3 linked regions of the Schizosaccharomyces pombe genome follow. Each later gene encodes a partner of the first gene's protein in a complex. Each region holds a gene or a part of one and is shown in the gene's direction. Other genes may lie near its edges. The genes, in order: mrpl32, mrp20 and mrx14.

Region 1 (3,538 bases):
AGTACTGAGAAGCCTTTACTCTCCGTTTCAGCGTTGTCTAGTAGTTCTCATCTTCAACCCACCTCTGCTACAAGCTCATCTTCTCGTTTGTATCCTTCTCGACCTGCTCCCACGCCTCCTGCAAGTTCTTCATCGTCTCCTTTATTATCATCACAAACAGTTAAAACTACTACCTCTAATGCTTCTCGACAACCTTCTCCATTAGTTTCCAGCAAGTCAACCGATAATATAATCCGAAGTCATTCCCCTGTTTTGTTAACGCCTCAAACCTTAAGTACATCTGAAACGAAACATATCCGTCCGAATAACTCGACACCATATCAACGGAGAGCCGAGACTAGCACCAAACCGAAAGCTGTTGCGACTCCTCAAAAAGTGGAAGCACCAAGTGCCCCTCGACTTCAAAAGCGTGCACCTCGACAACAATCCAATGATTCTGCTGTATTGGCAAAGTTACAGTCTATATGCAATCCCAAAAATCCAACACTTTTATATCGAAATTTTGTTAAAATTGGTCAAGGTGCTTCTGGTGATGTGTATTCTGCTCGCCAAGTCGGCACTAATCTTTCTGTTGCCATCAAGAAAATGAACATTAATCAACAGCCAAAAAAGGAATTTATTGTCAATGAAATACTCGTGATGAAGTCACATCATCACAAAAACATTGTCAATTTTATTGACACTTTCTTCTATAAATCAGAGTTGTGGATGGTAATGGAATACATGCGCGGTGGCAGTCTTACTGAAGTGGTTACCAATAACACTCTTTCAGAAGGTCAGATAGCTGCAATATGTAAGGAAACGTTGGAAGGCTTACAGCATCTCCATGAAAATGGCATTGTTCACCGTGACATAAAATCAGACAATATCCTTCTCTCACTTCAAGGAGATATTAAACTTACCGATTTTGGGTTTTGTGCTCAGATCGACAGTAACATGACGAAACGAACGACGATGGTTGGTACTCCATATTGGATGGCTCCAGAAGTCGTTACTAGAAAGGAATATGGTTTCAAAGTTGATGTCTGGAGTCTTGGTATTATGGCTATAGAGATGGTAGAGGGAGAGCCCCCGTATTTAAACGAAAATCCTTTACGTGCTCTATATTTAATTGCTACTATTGGTACTCCAAAGATTAGTCGGCCAGAATTGTTAAGTTCTGTTTTCCATGATTTTCTTTCTAAATCTTTAACTGTTAATCCTAAGCAACGCCCTAGCTCCGGTGAGCTTTTAAGGCATCCGTTTCTTAAGCAAGCCGTTCCAGTTTCATCCCTTATCCCTTTGATAAAATCCATACATCATTCTGGTAAATAGGCTAACTTGTCAAAAAAGTTTTTGAGTAAACATCTGCTGTTAGAAGTTTCGGAATATCCTCCAACGTTTGCTTAAAAACTGTTTCTTCTCACATTGTTTATTTATCGTTAATATGCTTTTGCAGTTCGTTAGAATATATGTACCTGAGTTTATTTTTTTGCCTCCTCCACTAAAATCCATATCCGCAGGTTGGGCAGATTCAAACAGAGTACATTTTAACTACTTTTTTGCTTTACTTTAATTCCTTTTTCTAGTGCATACTTTACTTATCTGTTCCTTTTTTTTTGTTTTTTTCTTACTGCCAAGAATGATCTCAGTGACACTTGGATAATTTTTATAATAAATGAGACAATGCTTCTTTCTAAAAGTCTCAACTTTTTAATATTCGCAATGCATTATAAAAAAACTAAAAGGAAGACTAACTTATCAAAGTATTCAAAATGTAAGTACATGATTCTGAGATTGATCTTGAATCAGTCAAAATAGGTTTGAATCTTTTAAAGCGATGTTTCAATTTCAATTATGTGGAATCTCAAAGTGAAACGCCTGCTGGAATATTTCACAAAATTTTTGATCTACTAAAATTAGTACAAATACGTAGAAAACTTCAAATAATTAAATGGACTATGATTGTAGCGTAGTTCATGAGCTTAAGAAAATTGTCAACATTAAACTGCGAGACTTAATAAAGAGAGAGCGCACTTAGCATTTAAATGTCAAGCCAAAGCAATAGTGAATTTGAGGAGTCTCGTTATACATGGGTTATTACTACTCAACAGCAGACTATAGATTTAGGCAGCAGCCTACTTCTTAAGCATTGTCTCGAAACCAAAGTAACTGGTCTTTAAGTTTCCTTTTGACGACTTCCAATTATTTCAAACTCTTTTCTCGGAGATCGTAAATCTATCTGTGATTGGGTCTACTGGTTTTAGAAAACGGCTATATGCATCGTTTTATAACTATATAATTAAGATCAAGTTCTGCAGTAACTAAGTTCGCCTTACCTTGAGAAAACTTTTAAAATATTGTTCAGCATTACTGTACCCAACAATATTCTACTGTTCGCGCTTGGGTCGAAAATGGCTCTTTTAAGAGGAAATTCTTTGGCAATTAGCCAAAAAATGTTATCAGTTTTTCAAGCTAGCGCCCTTCCTCATATTTCTTTGAGGATATTTATTTCCCCCCCTTCAATAGCTAATATATGGAATTCCATTTTGCTTGCTGTTCCAAAGAAAAAAACTTCTTATACTAAGAAACGAAGTCGCTTACTGTCCGGAAAAGCATTAAAAGACAAAACAGTTAATCGTTGTCCTATTTGCGGGTCTTTTAAATTGGCACATCATTTATGTTCTCACTGTTTTAGAAATATTCGTCGAGAATTTAACGAATGAAGGGCATTAAGCATTTCTTCACTGATTTAGTGATGCTGCAAATCTTTATTTTAAGAAAAAAAATGGACTTAACATTAAATATAAGGTTGTTTCATGTAATAGTATTGCAGTTAGTGAATTGAATCTGCTCGCACTACTTAAATTTTTTCAGTATTACGATTAATGAACTACACCCTTTTTAAAAATACGCGTATAACAAAGAATTTTTTTACTTAATTTTATTTGTTGACTATGTACGGTTGAGTATAAATATCATATATTATGCAAAAGAATTTAGAGTGAAAAAATAACAAAAAAGCTGAATATATCTCTTAGCTTTCATCCTTTTTCAATACACGTTTATGTTGTAAGCGTGTAAATAATATTAAATGCATCGAAAACACAAAAGAGACTATAATCTCATGTAAAGTATACATAAACGATAACAATAAGAAAAAACCAAGCTAGTTTTTCGCCCTCCATAAACCGGAATCAATTCGTTCTCGGCGTTGAGGATCATAACGATTAGCGTTCATTGAATTACGAAAAGAGCGACGAGCCACTTGAATTGTCTTGCTACCTGGAAGACAAACAGTTACACGCAGTGGATGAGTAGGATGAATTCGAAGGGGTTGTTTGGAAGATGAGCGGTATATAGGAACCTTCTCCTCTAATGGTTTCATTTCCTCTAATTTTAATGATTTAGTAGGAAGAAACCGCTCCGGGTTCACTTTAGGCAAATGTAAATTCAAAATAACATCGCCCTTCGATCGCTGAATTCGAACAGAATTTGCATGACTAAGTATCAATCTCGATGATTTTAAAGAGCTCGTTTCCGAGGATACTACATAACT
Region 2 (3,635 bases), on another chromosome or scaffold:
GCCCAGCCAGTGCGTCCTGCTCGAGCTGTACGTCCTACACGGTGAACAAAAACTTTTGGTTGAGGAGGGAAATCATAATTAATAACATTAGCAAGTAATGGGATGTCAATACCACGAGAAGCTACGTCTGTAACGACTAGTAAATTTGTTTTTCCAAGTCGAAAATTATTAATTTCATTGAGACGCGCTTCTTGGTCCAAAGACCCGTAAATTTTTGAAACCGAATATCCTGCTTGAACAAGTAACTCAGAAACATACTCGACATGATGTTTTGTAGGAACAAATACTAGAGTAGAATCTGGTGATCCAGATTCACTTCCTTTAAGCGCTAATTCTAATGCACGTTTTCTTTTCTTCGGATTATTGACATTTCCTATTTCTCTTGGGCGCACGTTATCTTTTAGAGGAAGCTTAATGATATCTTGTAGTATACATAAGAGAGCAGCTTCGCGTTCAGCGGTTTTAACAGAAAAAAAGGCACTTTGTAGATCCGCGGAAACCTTGGATTCTACATCAAGGCGTACAAGAACCGGGTCTTGAAGTCCAGCCTTTGCAAAATCAACAAGAGTACGTGGAAGTGTGGCAGAGAAGAGAAGAGTTTGACGAGAAGTCGGCAAAGCATGTAAAATCTCTGTCAATTGAGCAGCAAAACCCATTTCAAAAAGTCTATCGGCCTCATCGAAAACGACATACTCGATTGAACTCAACTCCAATTTCATTTCCACCTTTAAATGTAGAAATCTTCCAGGAGTTGCGACCACAATATCGGGTTTTCCGGATAGCAAACTAAATTGCTCCTCTAGACTGACGCCACCGACGATAGCGACAGATCGAAGATCCGTACCTTTAGAAAAGTCTTTGACGACTTTCACAGTCTGAAGAGCAAGTTCTCGATTTGGCGAGAGAATTAAGGCGCGAGTATTAGAGTTTGCTAGAGTGGACTTCAAATGCTCAATCATAGGTATAACAAAAGCTGCAGTTTTACCTGATCCAGTACGTGCCATACCTACAACATCACGACCTTCCAATAAAAGGGGAATCGTTTTGCGCTGAATCGGCGTAGGAGCTTTAAAACCCTTCTTAAATATTGCTCGAAGTAAAGTTTGATTCAATCCTATAATTAAGTTAGAAAAATATCAAAGTAATTTAGATTACAGTGTCTTGAAGCATAATGCAAAGTGACCTTATGGCAAGTAATCACGAAGTTAACATACCCATCGATTGGAAATTAGAAGCCTTTCCATTCCCCTTTTTTCCCTTCGTCCTCCTGTTAGACTCCAAAAGCTTCGAGGCAATATAATTACCATCATCTTCATCGCTCACATTTTCACCAACATTTTCGTGCTTATCTTTTTGATTATCAGTAGCAATATCAACAGGAAAAGCTTTTAAAGAATTTGATATATCGACCTCGTCGGACGTCTGGAATCCGGACATTTAAGACGAGTGAGCTGCACTTTTGTTGATTTTTTAGTTCTCTAGTGTCGCTGGCAAGAAAATTTACCGTATGAATAACAACTATCAAAAGGGCCTTCTTAAGTTTGATTTAACATTCTCATTTCAATTGTTCTGCTGCGTTTCTTTATATTAAAAATAAGTAATCCAACGTATTTTAATAAACTATAACGAACTTGAAATAAGCTGCTTTATATGTCAGCAATACTACACTACGCTACGATATACTACGTTGTGTATCACTATATGTCACATGTTCATAATGTTCTATTTGCTCTATCAGCTTTACATGATAAGTTATCTAGAAGGATATAATATCATTTATGATAAGATGACTATCAGTTATAATCCTTGTTATTTCAAATGTTATAAATTGAGAACAACTGAATTTGATTCCTCAGTTCAGTTATAAGATATCTCAGCTATAGATAACGATATATCCTATATATTAGAATACCTATATCCAATTCCTACTTATACTACTTGCGTATTACAATATAATAGATCACAAGGAAAACTCACCGCAGTTCTACGTATCCTTAAATCAGATACCAAATTGCGTAGCTTACATATATTACGTTCTAGGATAATACAACCAGAGACGTTATTTGTTAATAGTATACAACTGAGCTTTGATGCAATAAAGCAACCGGATTCTCAGCACGTTAGTACTAAACAACATTTGAACTCCGTAATCCAACAAATGGTTAATAACTAATCGTTTACCTAAGGCCGTTGACATCAAATTCATCTTGAAATCTACTGTTGAGAAAAACCATTTGTTTCTCTTTTTTTGCATAACTAGCACAAGTTGCTTTAGCCTTGAAGTTGAAACTCAATAGTAAATATGAGTAAAATTGCTGGGAAAAGATTAGTGTACTTTCCAAATATAACGTTCACGTTATGCAGAGGACTAAATCTTCAACCTAAATTTGCAGTATTTCGCGTACCTCTTCATGTTAACAAGTTTGATGTTCGCGATTATTTGCAACATGTGTACAATTTAAAAGTCGTATCAGTTAAGTCAAGAATTTATCAGGGCAAACTTTTTAGAAATCAACTAGGACAGGTTAAGAGACCACAATCTGAAAAACGCGTCATCGTTGAGATGGAAGAACCTTTCGTTTACCCAAATGCCCCAAATGATTTGAAAGATTGGCAGGAGGGTGAATTACTTCCTGATGGTTCTAATGTGAAAACCCTGAGCAGGTATCCAAAGGTCCTTGAACAAGTTGACATGAAACGGGTGAACGAAGAGTTAAGTAAGTTACAAGATAAGCAGATACTCGAATCACAACAGAAAATCGCTAGACTTTTAAAGAAAAAGTATTAGTATTTTTTTCATTTCCCAGGTAATGTTTTATTTTGGTTTCCGTCTATTCATTAATGCCTACAAAAGCATAATTATAGCCTCAAATGCCTCATCGAAGCGGTATGGTGTTTAATTGCATTCATTATAACCTCTCTTCTTTCATCTATTAAACTTTCAACGCCACTTGTTTCATTTTGAAATGTTCTAAAACTATTTTGGAAATTCTTTTCATGTCGGAAAAGCACGGTCGTCAATTAATAAAATAATAATTTTGTATCACAATACTTCTTAAATGCGTATCTCGCAAGTTCCAGCCCTAGTTGAGTACCTTACCCATTTAATACTTTTGTATTTGCTATTAGAAGGTTCACTGACCCTTAAGTATTGCACATGTAGACCGGAGCTGGTAAACATAAGAATATTGAAATCTAAGGATATTGGAGGCTTCGCCCATATTTGCTGGTTAGTTGTATTAGATAACTCTACCTCAGCGTAAAAAATAAGTTCAGTTTCGCCTAAAAACCGGGGAATTTTCCAATTGATAATATTTTCAGAGGGCTCGTACCCTGCCTTTCCTCGATTTACACGAGGATTAGCTTTTACCACATTTGTGGGAACCGGTATCCGAAAGTTCAAAGAAGAAGAAAGTTTGTGTGGATAGTCTGCTCGTATACTGATACGATAAATAATTTTTTGTTTCGACAACTGTTCGACAATAGGAACAATTCTAAAAGGAATATTTATGTTTTCATGTGAACGATAACTCATTAATTCAACCTCACCATCCGGCGGAATGAAAGTAATTCTGTGTTCATTTTCAAATTCCGGCAATCTAACACATTGATGAAACTGGCAATCTTCTAAAATG
Region 3 (3,758 bases), 100 kb from region 1:
ACAAATCTGGGAAAATAAGTATATAAATCACCAAAATAGGTTTAGCTAGCACGGTTCTTCTACAATTCACGTGTGGAGAAACAATTCAGAATGATTGAGTTCGAATTCTTTTACACACATAAAGAACTGCGGTATTGATAAATTGGGAGACTGAGCGAAATATTTGGAAAAGACATTTTGTTTCATAAAAAGGAAATTTAGGATAGCAGCTCAAAATTTACGATATTTTTGTTAAGTTGTAAAAGAATTGGATAGTATATGTAGGTGCATCCCAATAACTCCAAAATTTCCCGGGTGCACGATCTATTTCGTGAGCATCTGCGCAACAAAGTTAATATAAATAAAAAATCAGTAAAACCAACATACCAATTTTAAAGGCTATTGATTCGTATGGTTCAGCAGCCACTACCAGATACTGAAACTTTCGGTCAGGAGCTTCAACACGCTGTTCATAAGCACTCATAATTCTGTATCTTGGCTTAGCGTTCACTTCAATATCTGGATACTTTATTTGGAAACGTAGGCCAAATTTTCCGCTTTCGGCTTCTCTTATTTTGGACACTTTATAACCGGGTCGACCAATTTTTACGACACTTTTTTTAACCTGGACATGGGATTGAGAAATGCCCAACAACACTTGTGGTGCATTCTCTTGAGACTTTTTATTTTCGAGAGCCTGTCTCCTGGCTAAATTTGTCTGGTGTTTTTTACCTTGTGTATGGGTAAGGTAAGAGTTTTCATTCGCATGTGTAGTGAGGCAAAGACGACATTCAAAAGTGCCTAAATGATTTTTCATCAAATATGGATCCTATAAGAGATTAGCAATAGAAATATCATCGCAAAGAGTTTGAGGAGGAAGCTTCAAGGTGATTGACAGGGTAAAAAAAAGATGTCCAATTAGTGTAACATGCAAAACAGCAAACAAGGAAGTAGAAAGCAAATCCTTTTCATTTATTATTGTTGTTATTTTAGTTGTTATAGTTAGCGAATTTAACAGCAACTACTAATAAACTTCAATAATATGTAACATACGTACATGTCTTACTTTACACGATTAATTCATCGGTAATTATAATTGACATTCAGCACTCAAATTTTCAGAATTCAGTGGTTTTTAAACATACCTTTGATAAATCAATGGTTTCTAGCGCCAATTTACGAAGACGCTCTCTACGTGCAGCATTTGTTTCTTGATAGCCAGCAACGCCTCCTCCTCCAAAACGAACACCTGCGCGGTTTTGATAATCCATTTTTTAGTTCCTAGAAAATCCAACACTTATTTTTCTGTACTTTCACAATGACAATAAAGTCCCCTAAAAGACGGTGGCAGAGGCTGTACTTTCGTGAACCCCTATGTTTAAAGAAATATCGCAATGCAGAACAATACGCTAAATTCTCATCGTCGATGCCTTTTTTTTAACAAATATTTTAAATAGCAGATTAGAGCTCCTTTTCTCCATTTTATTATGTCACGTAAAAACAAAAAAAAATAATAACTTTTGATAAATTTAATGTATTGATGCTCCCATATATGAGTATATTTAATATGCTTTCAATATTTAAAAAGCCGGGACTGCAGCAATTTGCTTCCAATTTAAAATACTGGGTATTATTAATAAAATAAAATAGATAAAAGAAAGTATAAGATGTCATTTAACTGCTAAAACCTTTTTTGTACTATAAATTATCACTTTTAGCCCATGAATCGAATTCATTAAACTGATGGATTTTACTATTTGGTAATCTCATGCCAATTATTTGTTGGGAAAAAGCAAAAGCGATATCAAATTTTAGGGGTTCAGGTTGCTTTCTTTAAGGGCGTATAAAGAATGGTTAATGAACTATTTATTAATAATAATAGTATTATTATTATATTACCGACATTCCAGTGAATTGAATGAAACTATTAAAACGTAGTTATTGGATTTTAGCAAAGATTTTAATTTATTGTAACACAAATATTTGAAATTTAACACTTCGAATGTCAAACGGTGCTACACTGATTCACTTCAACCTTTCTAATAACCAGCTACTCCATCACATCTCAAATCTCTTCATTTTGCACATTTACGTTCATATATAATTTTTATATTATTTTTTGAAATTTTTTCTCTTGAAATCCAGTCACCTGCTTTCATTCCTATTGCTTTATGATGTTTATGCAACAATTTCGAAATTTGTTGCATCCTGCCATGAAGGGAGCCAGGAATATTTCAATATTAGCTGGAGGAGGAACTATGAGAGGGTTTCCGACAAGAAACCCTTTTAATACCGCTACTTTATACAGTTCTTTACCGACTATGAACATCTTCGGTCAAATGCAGCAAGTGCGTTGGAAAACGTATGGAAACGAGTATCAACCCTCAAATAGAAAGCGTAAAAGAAAACACGGATTTTTATCTCGAATTCGTTCTGTTAACGGTCGTCGTGTTTTACGAGATCGAAGACAAAAAGGGAGGATGTATCTGAGCCATTGAGTACATATTATCTTTTAATGGGCTCTAATTTGCATTAGTAACCTCTATCAATTCTTCATTTAAGTAATGCTTTCTAGTTTGTGATACATTTTCTTTCCATTGGTTCTTTGTTTAATTTTACTTGTTGAACTTTGAACTTTAATAACTTCTTTAAAACACGAGTTTATAAAATTTATTTTCCATGTCTGCGACTATATTTTTCATGAACAATTTTCCATCATTTATAAAATAAACCGTAATTTTTTTATATATTGGGTGCGATCATATCGGACTTAACCCACTTTTCTACCGTTTCTTTAGAGGTGCTTAAAAGCAAAAATTGTCTAGCTTCTAAAGCTATCCATAATTGAACCATTGGGTTTGTGAGTGAGACATTGGATTTCGATGAAGCAGAACGAAGATATGGTGTAGCATTACTTAATAGATCCATTTCTGGATATAGTTGGCGTCCAGCGCCTTCAACTAAAAGGATAGATAGCACAGTATTTGCGAAATTTGCTTCAATTCGAACATGATGCTCTCTCGCCATAGTCATTACTTCTTGTAATATAGTTCCTATTTGAAGTGATTTCAGTGAAAGCGTGCTCTTTTGAATTTCATTCAACAAATGTTCCATTTTAAGAGCAAATATGTCTTTGTTTATAACGCGTTCTGTCTGCCTGCTCCTTTCAACCATCAACAGTCCAGCCTCATAGCCATGGAAAGTAAGTACGGCTTGAAACAGATCCAAAAAATTTTTCTGATCCTGCGTACTAAGTTTCGTTACTAATCCAGCATCCAAAAATACTAAAGTCGGTCGATAGCCCAAGATGTTTAATTCTTCCATAGCAGAATCCCATTCCTCCGTCGAACATGTACTTAGAATTTTATAAATTGAGTCATTAATCTCATTATCTTGATTAAAGATTGTTTTAGGGATTCCTTTGTAAAATTTAACAAGGACATTACCCGGATGAAGATCAGCATGTGTAAAGTTGTCAACAATAAGCATTTGAAATAATGCATTATTTCCTGTGTTAGCTAACAACTTGTTAAATGGTCCTGACTTATGTTTGAGGAACGCGCTTAATGGGATACCCGGCATATAGTCTTCTAGTAGGATTTGATTAGTCGTGTAATCATCATAGGGAGCTGGAAATTCAACATATCTATTTCCTCTAAAGTTAAGACGGAACTGGTTGAGATGAAGCGCCTCATAATGTAAATTCAATTGCTGGTTTAACATTGCCCCAAATACCTTAACTTCGTCGGGCAGAGAAAGCCACTTCATTGAAGGTACCA

The links.
Region 2: mrpl32 (region 1) and mrp20 share a complex: the UniProt entries of both Schizosaccharomyces pombe proteins name them as parts of the mitochondrial large ribosomal subunit.
Region 3: mrpl32 (region 1) and mrx14 share a complex: the UniProt entries of both Schizosaccharomyces pombe proteins name them as parts of the mitochondrial large ribosomal subunit.

Annotation. Positions count from the first base shown.
Region 1 is NC_003423.3:3,905,745-3,909,282, forward strand, and holds mrpl32 (mitochondrial 54S ribosomal protein bL32m), read left to right. Parts: upstream 1-2,107; 5' UTR 2,108-2,393; coding exon 2,394-2,705; 3' UTR 2,706-2,987; downstream 2,988-3,538. Other genes in the region: PAK-like kinase Shk1, read left to right, coding at 1-1,314; SPOM_SPBC1604.12 (uncharacterized protein), read right to left, coding at 3,149-3,538. UniProt on the Schizosaccharomyces pombe protein: Component of the mitochondrial ribosome (mitoribosome), a dedicated translation machinery responsible for the synthesis of mitochondrial genome-encoded proteins, including at least some of the essential transmembrane subunits of the mitochondrial respiratory chain.
Region 2 is NC_003424.3:400,758-404,392, forward strand, and holds mrp20 (mitochondrial 54S ribosomal protein uL23m), read left to right. Parts: upstream 1-2,128; 5' UTR 2,129-2,302; coding exon 2,303-2,788; 3' UTR 2,789-3,055; downstream 3,056-3,635. Other genes in the region: ATP-dependent RNA helicase Dbp10, read right to left, coding at 1-1,114, 1,215-1,437; AP-2 adaptor complex subunit Apm4, read right to left, coding at 3,056-3,635. UniProt on the Schizosaccharomyces pombe protein: Component of the mitochondrial ribosome (mitoribosome), a dedicated translation machinery responsible for the synthesis of mitochondrial genome-encoded proteins, including at least some of the essential transmembrane subunits of the mitochondrial respiratory chain.
Region 3 is NC_003423.3:3,803,294-3,807,051, reverse strand, and holds the start of mrx14 (mitochondrial 54S ribosomal protein bL34m), read left to right. Parts: upstream 1-2,023; 5' UTR 2,024-2,150; coding exon 2,151-2,477; 3' UTR 2,478-2,721; coding exon of another isoform or gene 2,722-3,758. Other genes in the region: U2 snRNP-associated protein Sap62, read right to left, coding at 218-303, 367-808, 1,125-1,250; cqd1 (ABC1 kinase family protein ), read right to left, coding at 2,722-3,758. UniProt on the Schizosaccharomyces pombe protein: Component of the mitochondrial ribosome (mitoribosome), a dedicated translation machinery responsible for the synthesis of mitochondrial genome-encoded proteins, including at least some of the essential transmembrane subunits of the mitochondrial respiratory chain.